Tribolium castaneum: one gene and its partner. The protein of the gene in region 1 purifies or fractionates together with the protein of each later gene. This does not show direct contact. Links are inferred from orthologs where the notes say so. Each region holds a gene or a part of one and is shown on either strand. Other genes may lie near its edges.

What was found. The genes of interacting proteins can lie anywhere in the genome.
Region 2: the proteins of wts (region 1) and jub purify together in Drosophila melanogaster (affinity purification with western blotting; 4 studies listed by BioGRID). This does not show direct contact. The link is inferred for Tribolium castaneum from reciprocal best matches to the Drosophila melanogaster genes wts and jub.

The regions. Positions count from the first base shown.
Region 1 is NC_087397.1:10,557,618-10,561,180, reverse strand, and holds the end of wts (serine/threonine-protein kinase Warts), read left to right. Parts: intron 1-1,196; coding exon 1,197-1,625; 3' UTR 1,626-3,061; downstream 3,062-3,563. Other genes in the region: Rab11 (ras-related protein Rab-11A), read left to right, coding at 3,410-3,449. UniProt on the Drosophila melanogaster protein: Negative regulator of Yorkie (Yki) in the Hippo/SWH (Sav/Wts/Hpo) signaling pathway that plays a pivotal role in organ size control and tumor suppression by restricting proliferation and promoting apoptosis.
Region 2 is NC_087398.1:13,261,955-13,265,934, reverse strand, and holds the start of jub (LIM domain-containing protein jub), read left to right. Parts: upstream 1-1,175; coding exon 1,176-2,325; intron 2,326-3,980. Other genes in the region: coiled-coil domain-containing protein 43, read right to left, coding at 266-721, 770-940. UniProt on the Drosophila melanogaster protein: Regulates organ size by inhibiting apoptosis and promoting cell proliferation by influencing the expression of G1/S-specific cyclin-E (CycE) and apoptosis 1 inhibitor (th). Negatively regulates the Hippo signaling pathway.

The DNA.
Region 1 (3,563 bases):
TATTTAATGAATTTGAAAAAAAAAGCTCAAAACATTTTTTATACAAAAAATGATACAATTCAATTTTCTTTTTTTTTAATGAAAACACCTTATATTTTATGCATTTTTAGATATACATGGTTGTTAATCAGAATGTTGTTTTTTACTATTAAATTTTGAAATACTTGTCAAAAAAACATTTTAAAAATATAAAAAATACAACAGAATATGTTTACCTAAGGGTGTTTAAGTAAGTTTGAATAATAAAAATTTCTGGACATAAAAAGAACTTTTAAACATAAAATACTTCCTTGTTTTGGATTTCGAGAATCTTCCTATAATATTTTCTTAAGTAATAATAATTTATTTATTAGTAATAAATAGTTAATAAATGTGCATTATAATGACTTCTAATGTTATTAATTTAAAAAAAAAAATTGTTCATTACACTTTATATTTATTAAAATTTATAAAAACAATGAAAACTGAAGTTTTGGGGCCATACCCTCTAGGATGCCTCTGGATCCGTCCTTATTTGAACTCTTTAATTTTGTGAGTTCGTGAGTTCTGCATTTACTTTTTTTGAATACATTAATTAAGTTCATGTGGTCTCATTCTACGAATTTTTTTGTAGCCACTTACGATACGTGTTTTAAAATCGTATGTGCATGTCTATTGTCTATTTTATTTTATATTATTTCTGTTTTAGATATCTATCTAAAATAATGCTGCTTGCATTGAAGATGAAGTATTTTTGAAATTCTTGATTTTTGAAATCTATAAGTAGGGGTCATTTGTTTTTTTAATAACACATACATTTTTCCAATTTTAATTTTTAACTTCCACGTATATCTTTTTTTAGTCCTGTCGTTATTGTGATTATTTTCTTTTTCAATATCCTAGTGAAGATCCTTATTACTATACCTCACAGATATTACATTTATGTTTAAAAGTACTTTTAAAACCAAAATAAGTTTCATGTAGGTTCTATGTCACTGTTGAAAAAACTGAAAGAATATTTGTCATGTTTAATGTTTTTTTTGTTTTAAAGCTACATGGCTTCGTAAAATGTTTTATAAATTAATTTTCTTATTGTATACTATTTCTTCGATAAATTATTCAATTAGAAATGCACGTAATTCAGATATATTGCCTTAATCTCAAAGCCGTATTGATCAGGAGTGGCGTTGAAATCTGACGATGTTTGTTGATTTTAGGTGATAAACTGGGAGACGACGTTGCAAATACCAAAGCAAGCGAATCTTTCCAAGGAAAGTACTGACTTGATATTAAAATTGTGTTGTAGTGCGGACAAACGCTTAGGTAAAAATGCTAGTGAAGTGAAGTCGCATCCGTTCTTCAAAGACATCGATTTCGACCGAGGTTTGCGTCGCCAGCCGGCCCCGCACATACCTCGAATCGAATACCCCACAGATACGTCAAATTTCGATCCGATCGATCCCGACAAGTTACGAAATTCGGCTTCGATCGATTCGAGCACTTCCGACGAACTGACCGATAGTTCTAAGCCGTTTCACGGCTTTTTCGAATTCACATTCAGGCGTTTTTTCGATGACGGAGGTGGTCCCGCTTTTAATAAAATCAGTCTAGACGATAATGACAATCAAGGCTCTGTGTATGTGTAATCTTCTTGGAAATGTTCCGAGATGGACCCTCGGAACATGGATTTTCGCTCGGTTTTTGCTCTTGCCAACTGGAATTTGTACGCAAGATTGTGTTTTTGCTCTCGTGTCTGGTTAGTTCAAATAAGGACTCCTAGGCCTTATTTAATGATGGTTTAGCGCCGCTTTCGTTACGGCACGCTTTTGAAGTGTGGCGTAACGGGGGCGGGGCTTGTTTTGCAACCAAAGCCTTAAAATAGCTGCCTTGTTCTACTTTTTATAGGAAAGCTCAAATTTTCATACTTTGGTAAGAACTGAAAGATTCTATAGTACAATTCGCTATTTGAATTAAAAAATTGTATAGCGTGTAAATTATTTAAAAATTGAAGAAATGGTGCTAATTCTTATTCATACGTTAAATGTGATATCCACTGAATGTCTATAAAAATTATTTCTGACTTGTTGGAGTGGTTGTTCTATTGCATTTATGTCGAGCTTTAGAGGCCTGGAACGCGAAGAAAGACCTCGATAGGCGGGGCTAGTGCGCAGTGGCGTAGCAATTAACTATTTAAATTGATACTTCCTACTATTCGTCCATATATTCAGTCGTAGCAATACAATAGGTACAAAAAGTTACATCTTGTTCTATTACACAAGAATAAAAAATTGTTATTTATTGTTTTGTAACAAAATAAATTCATAGATTGTTTGCGCACCCCCACCATCGCGGTCATTCTGTCATTTCACGGTCTCTACGGCGTCAACTGGCATTTAATTAAAAACAATTGGAATCGTTGAGGTGTTGTCACTGTGACTGAGCAGTTTTGAAATGTTTTTATGGACAGTCAGTTGTATGCAACAATAAATTATTATTGTATATTATGTACAATACTCTAGGGATTTGTAAATATAATTATATCGTCGAAGTGTAATGGTCGGTCTAAAGGTACTAACTAACCACTTGCGGGGTTTTTGTTAAGTTGTTAGATGGAAAAATTGTGAATTAGTTGAAGAGAGCAAGGAAAATTAACAAGCACTGCCTTTTTTAACTAAAAAGAATAAAAGCATTATTTAATAATCTTGCAGTAAATCAAAATAGTTTTGTAAGAGCATAATGTTTAATTTTTTTCTCAGAAAAAAAATGCTGTGTTACAATTAGTTTTAATGATACGCTCATAACTTAATGCTTAGTTAAATATTTATTACATTTCCCCTCATTCTAAAATTAATTTGTAACACCCTCCTAGCTTAAGTATGGATTAATTTAGCATATAATTTTTCTAGTCTATTGGAATTTTTTTATCGTTTAAATATATTATTGATTTAAATGTTGTTTATAGGTCATAATGTTGTTCCTTAATTATGCAAGAAAATAGTAAAAGCGTATGCACTTAGGAAATTATGATTTGAGTGCCTACATAGTGTAAATGTGTGTAAATAATTATATATTTTTGGAAACATCCCGTCTCTGATTTCCAACCTTGGGCTACGCCACTGCGTTGATGGGCAATGTGGCAGTGCACGCGCATGCGCAAACAATCGAAAATCTGACAGTTCAAAGGGGCGTTCTAATCTGCGAACAATAAAAGAAGAGTGGGTCGCCATTTTGTTCGCTATAAAATCGTAAAGATCTTACCAAAGTTATATAAAACATCCCTGACCGAAACCAAAACTTATCGTTTGAAATGTGTCTGTGATATAAACAGTGGAGTGTAAATAGCGGTATATTTGTGATATGCACTAATTGTCTGTGTGTTTTTATTTTGGTACATTTTGGAGAGGGTGCAGATCAGCTGAAGGGACAGAAAATGAGTTCGAAGGACGATGAATACGATTATTTGTTCAAAGGTAAGCGTCCAATTGGGGCCCTTGTTATCGCACTTTGACGTTGCGGACCTTGGAGGTAATTGACACTTGACGTAAATTTTGTTCCCGTGTGACAAGTCAGCAATGTCAGAGGTC
Region 2 (3,980 bases), on another chromosome or scaffold:
GATCAAAGGGCTTAAAACACGTTTTGTTTTTAATATTAAGTAGGTAATTTATTAAAAATATTCTACAGTCCACACCAAGGGTCATTTTTAAATTCAGACTGTTTATAAAAATAAATCGTCTCCATACATAAAATTGTAAAAATCAACTTTGTCTCAATACATATTCGTCGCTTTTGCCTTACTAGAATAACCATTTTATCAACATTTATTATTCACAATAGAACCACGAGAAAAACCAAAAAAATCCTACAAATTTTCAACGTCGCTACCTTCTTCTTTCCCCTTTTTGAGTCTTGCGCTTCTCCTTCTTTTCCTCTCTTAGCTGTTTCTGCTTTTCCCTATCTTCCTTATCCTTTTCCTTCTTCCTCTGACTATCAAGTTTGGCCTGTTCTCGTTTCACTTTCTCAGCTTGGAGGACAGACTGTACATTTGTGTTTTTTTCCAAGCCATTCTCTTTGTGATCCCCTGCCTGATTCCCATCCTCGGCCTCGTCCTCATCGTCCGTCATTTGCGAGTACTGCATCAAAATCGCCTCACGAATTTTCTTCTCTTCTTCTGTGTACTTTTTTTGTTTGGTGGTGGCCAATGACTGAGATTCTAGTAATTTGACAAGTTTTGTATCCACGTCCTCGCTGGTGCTCTGAGCCGGGGGCGGCTCTTTGCGTTTGTGAAACTGCCATTTCTCGAGGATTTCGTTACATATTTTATTTATTTCGTCCTCCTAAAAAGGCGACATGTGAAGGTGCTTGAGTGGGGGTACACAACTCACATTTTGAATTATTTCCGAAAGTATTCCTTGTAGGGCCTCGGATTTTTCCTCGCAGGACTCATCGCTGTCTAAAATGCCTTGAATGTACGAGCCGAAGACACTTTCATCCGTGTTTAACTCCTCCAAAGTGCGACTTAACCATGAAGAAAAGTCCTCCATGGCGGTGGCCATTTTTATTCAAAATTTTAGTGACTTTTCGGTTTACGCGTGGGATGCCCAACCTGTTTGTTTGTTGTTTTAATGGCGGCGCTGTCATTTTGCTGTCATTTTTTTTACGTTCGGTCGTTTTATTACCTCATCTCCGGTTAATTATGTATTTATTTATGAGTAATTATTGAAATATGTCGATTGAGTTACTTAATTTAAGTGAAAACTGCCGTTCTGTGATTAAATCAATTTGGTGATAATGTCGAACCTTCGCGGTGACTTGGATCCTTCTTTGGATCAGTCGTTCGAGCAAAAAATGCAGTACATGTCCCTCAACGACTCGAATCCACGGTACGGCCGCATCATGGGGAAGGCAGAGCCGGCGGTGCCCCCTTACCACCAGAAACAAAAATCGATGGGGGCCATCGAAAGTTTCGTAGCAGAAGGACCGACCCAGCAGAAATCAAACGATTACACTTTGTATGAAAGAAACAACATCATTGCCAGTTCTAAATACGCCACTCCTAAACAAGTCGAGACCCTAGTACAGAAGCAAGTCGAAGAGAATGATATTTACGTCCAGTGCGCTAAGCCCCAAGTACCCCCAAATGCGAGCCCCACTCACTCTTTAAGCGGCTCATCGCAACACTCCGGCAGCCCCCGAACCAGCATGGCCAACCAAACCCCAGTTTACGAAAACATCGACTACTACTCCACTCGGAACTACCAACCCCCTTACTACCACTCCATGGAAAGTAACTACCGGAAAGCCCAGCCCCAAGTCCCCTCAATCAACCGCAACATCACGCGTGATGGTGAGGCTTTGCCCGTTTACGAAAACTTGCAGTCTTTGGGGCAGAAATCCAGCGGGGCTACGCCGGGGCCCCAAGTGCCTTCAAATCAAGCACCGCCTCCATACCCCACCCAATCGTACCAACAGACGTACCCCCAAATGCACAAAACGGTTCTCAAAGCCCCGTACTACCCCAGTTATAATAAAAATTTGACTAAACAACAGCTGGATGAAATCAATAGCAGTGATTATGTCTGTATGACTGGGAATATCTCGCACACTTTGAGTACGAACGTGCCGTTTCAAACGTCCACTGCCAAAAACTACAATAGAGAGCCTGGTACTGGCATTGCCACTACGCCGTCAGTTTTGCCCAAAAGTCCGATTGTGAAGGAGAAAGTTGAGGTGAGACCGCCACCGGTTCCGAGCCCCACGCCCAGCGCTTGTAGTACTTTGAGTGCTGGGAAATTGAAAATGAGTGGAAAGACTTTGTTGCCCTATAATGTTACACCGCCGAGGCCAAGGGGGCCCACGGAGGCAGAAAGGAAAATTGAGGAGATGACTAGGCAGATTGAAGAGGAAATGGAGAAGCATGAGGAGGAAGGGGAATATTTTGGTAATTGTTTTTTTATGAAAATTTTTAGCCATAATTTTATTGTCGTTTTTATGTTTTTAATAAGAAAGTAGACCAAAAGAAAATAATTATTAATTACATATCTATCGTTACATATCTATATATTCTAGTCATTAATGAAAAAGACAACGTGCAAAATTGCTTCGTTTTATTTTTTTTTAAAGTGTTTGCCACCCGTTTGTTTTTTTCTTGTCATTTTATGCTTGTATTAAGAAACTAGACCGAAAAACATCTGCTAGAAGATTTATTCATTGATAAAAAAGAAAGCGTGCAAAAGTTGATTCGTTTTATTTTTTAAGGTGTTTGCCACACATCTTTCTTTTTCTTGCAATTTTGTTTGTAATAAGAAGACTAGAAAGAAGGAAACGTCACTATATGTATAAATAACTACTGATAACTATATAGTTTCGGTAATCTGTGCTAGAAGATCTATCCACTAATGAAAAAGAAAGCTTGCAAAAATTCATTCATTTTTTTGTGTTTGCCACACGTTTGTTTTTTTTTGTCATTTTATGATTGTGATAAGAAAACTAAACGGAAATAAAGGTCTCTAAATAAATAATTACGTGGTTGTGTTAGTCTGTGTCAGAAGATTTATTCATTAATGAAAAAGAAAGCTTCCAAAAACTGATTCGTTGTATTTTTTTGCTACATATCTGTTATTTTTTTCTTGCAATTTTATGGTTGTAGTAAGAAAACTACACAGAAAAGAACGTCTCCTAATAAACAATATGTACGATTGTTGTGGTAGTTTGTGCTAGAAGATTCAATAATTAATGAATAAAAAAGCGTTCGAAAATTGTTTCGTTTAATTTTTTTAAAGTGTTTGCCACATGTCTGTTATTTTCTTTTAATTTTATAGTCATTAAAAGAAACTAGATAGAAAGAAAAGTCTCCTAATAAATAAAAAGCAATTAAATTAGTTGTGGTTGTCTGGCTAGAAGATTCATTAATTAATGAAGAAAAAAGCGTTCGAAAATTATTTCGTTTTTTTTTAAGGTGTTTGCCACTTGTTTGTTTTTTTCTTTCAGTTTTATGATTATAATAAGAAAATTAGATAAAAAGAAAAGTCTCCAAATAATTTATTACATAGTTGTGGTAGTATGAAAAAGTAACCTTGCAAAATTTTATTTTTTTAACGTGTTTGCCATATGTCTGTTTTTTTTTTGCTTTTTATAGTTGTAATAAGAAAACTAGACAGAAAAAAATAATTACATAGTCGTGGTAGTTTGTGTTGGAAGATTAATTAATTAATGAAGAAAAAAGCGTTCGAAAATTGTTTTGTTTTATTTTTTTAAGGTGTTTGCCACATGTTTGTTTTCTTTCAATTTTATGGTTGTAATAAGAAAACTAGAAGTCTCCAGATACGTAATTACAAATTAAGTAATTACATAGTTGTGGTAGTCTGGCTAGACGATTCTTTCATTATTAATGAAAAAATAAGCTTGCAAAATTTGATTTGTTTTATTTTTTCAAGGTGTTTGCCATGTGTCTGTTTTTTTTTGCTTTTTTACGGTTGTAATAAGTAAAATAGACAGAAAAAACGTTTCCTAATAAATAATTGCGTAGTTATCGTAGTTTGTGTTAGAAGATTCATTAATTAATGAAGAAAAAAGCGTTCAAAAATTGTTTCGTTT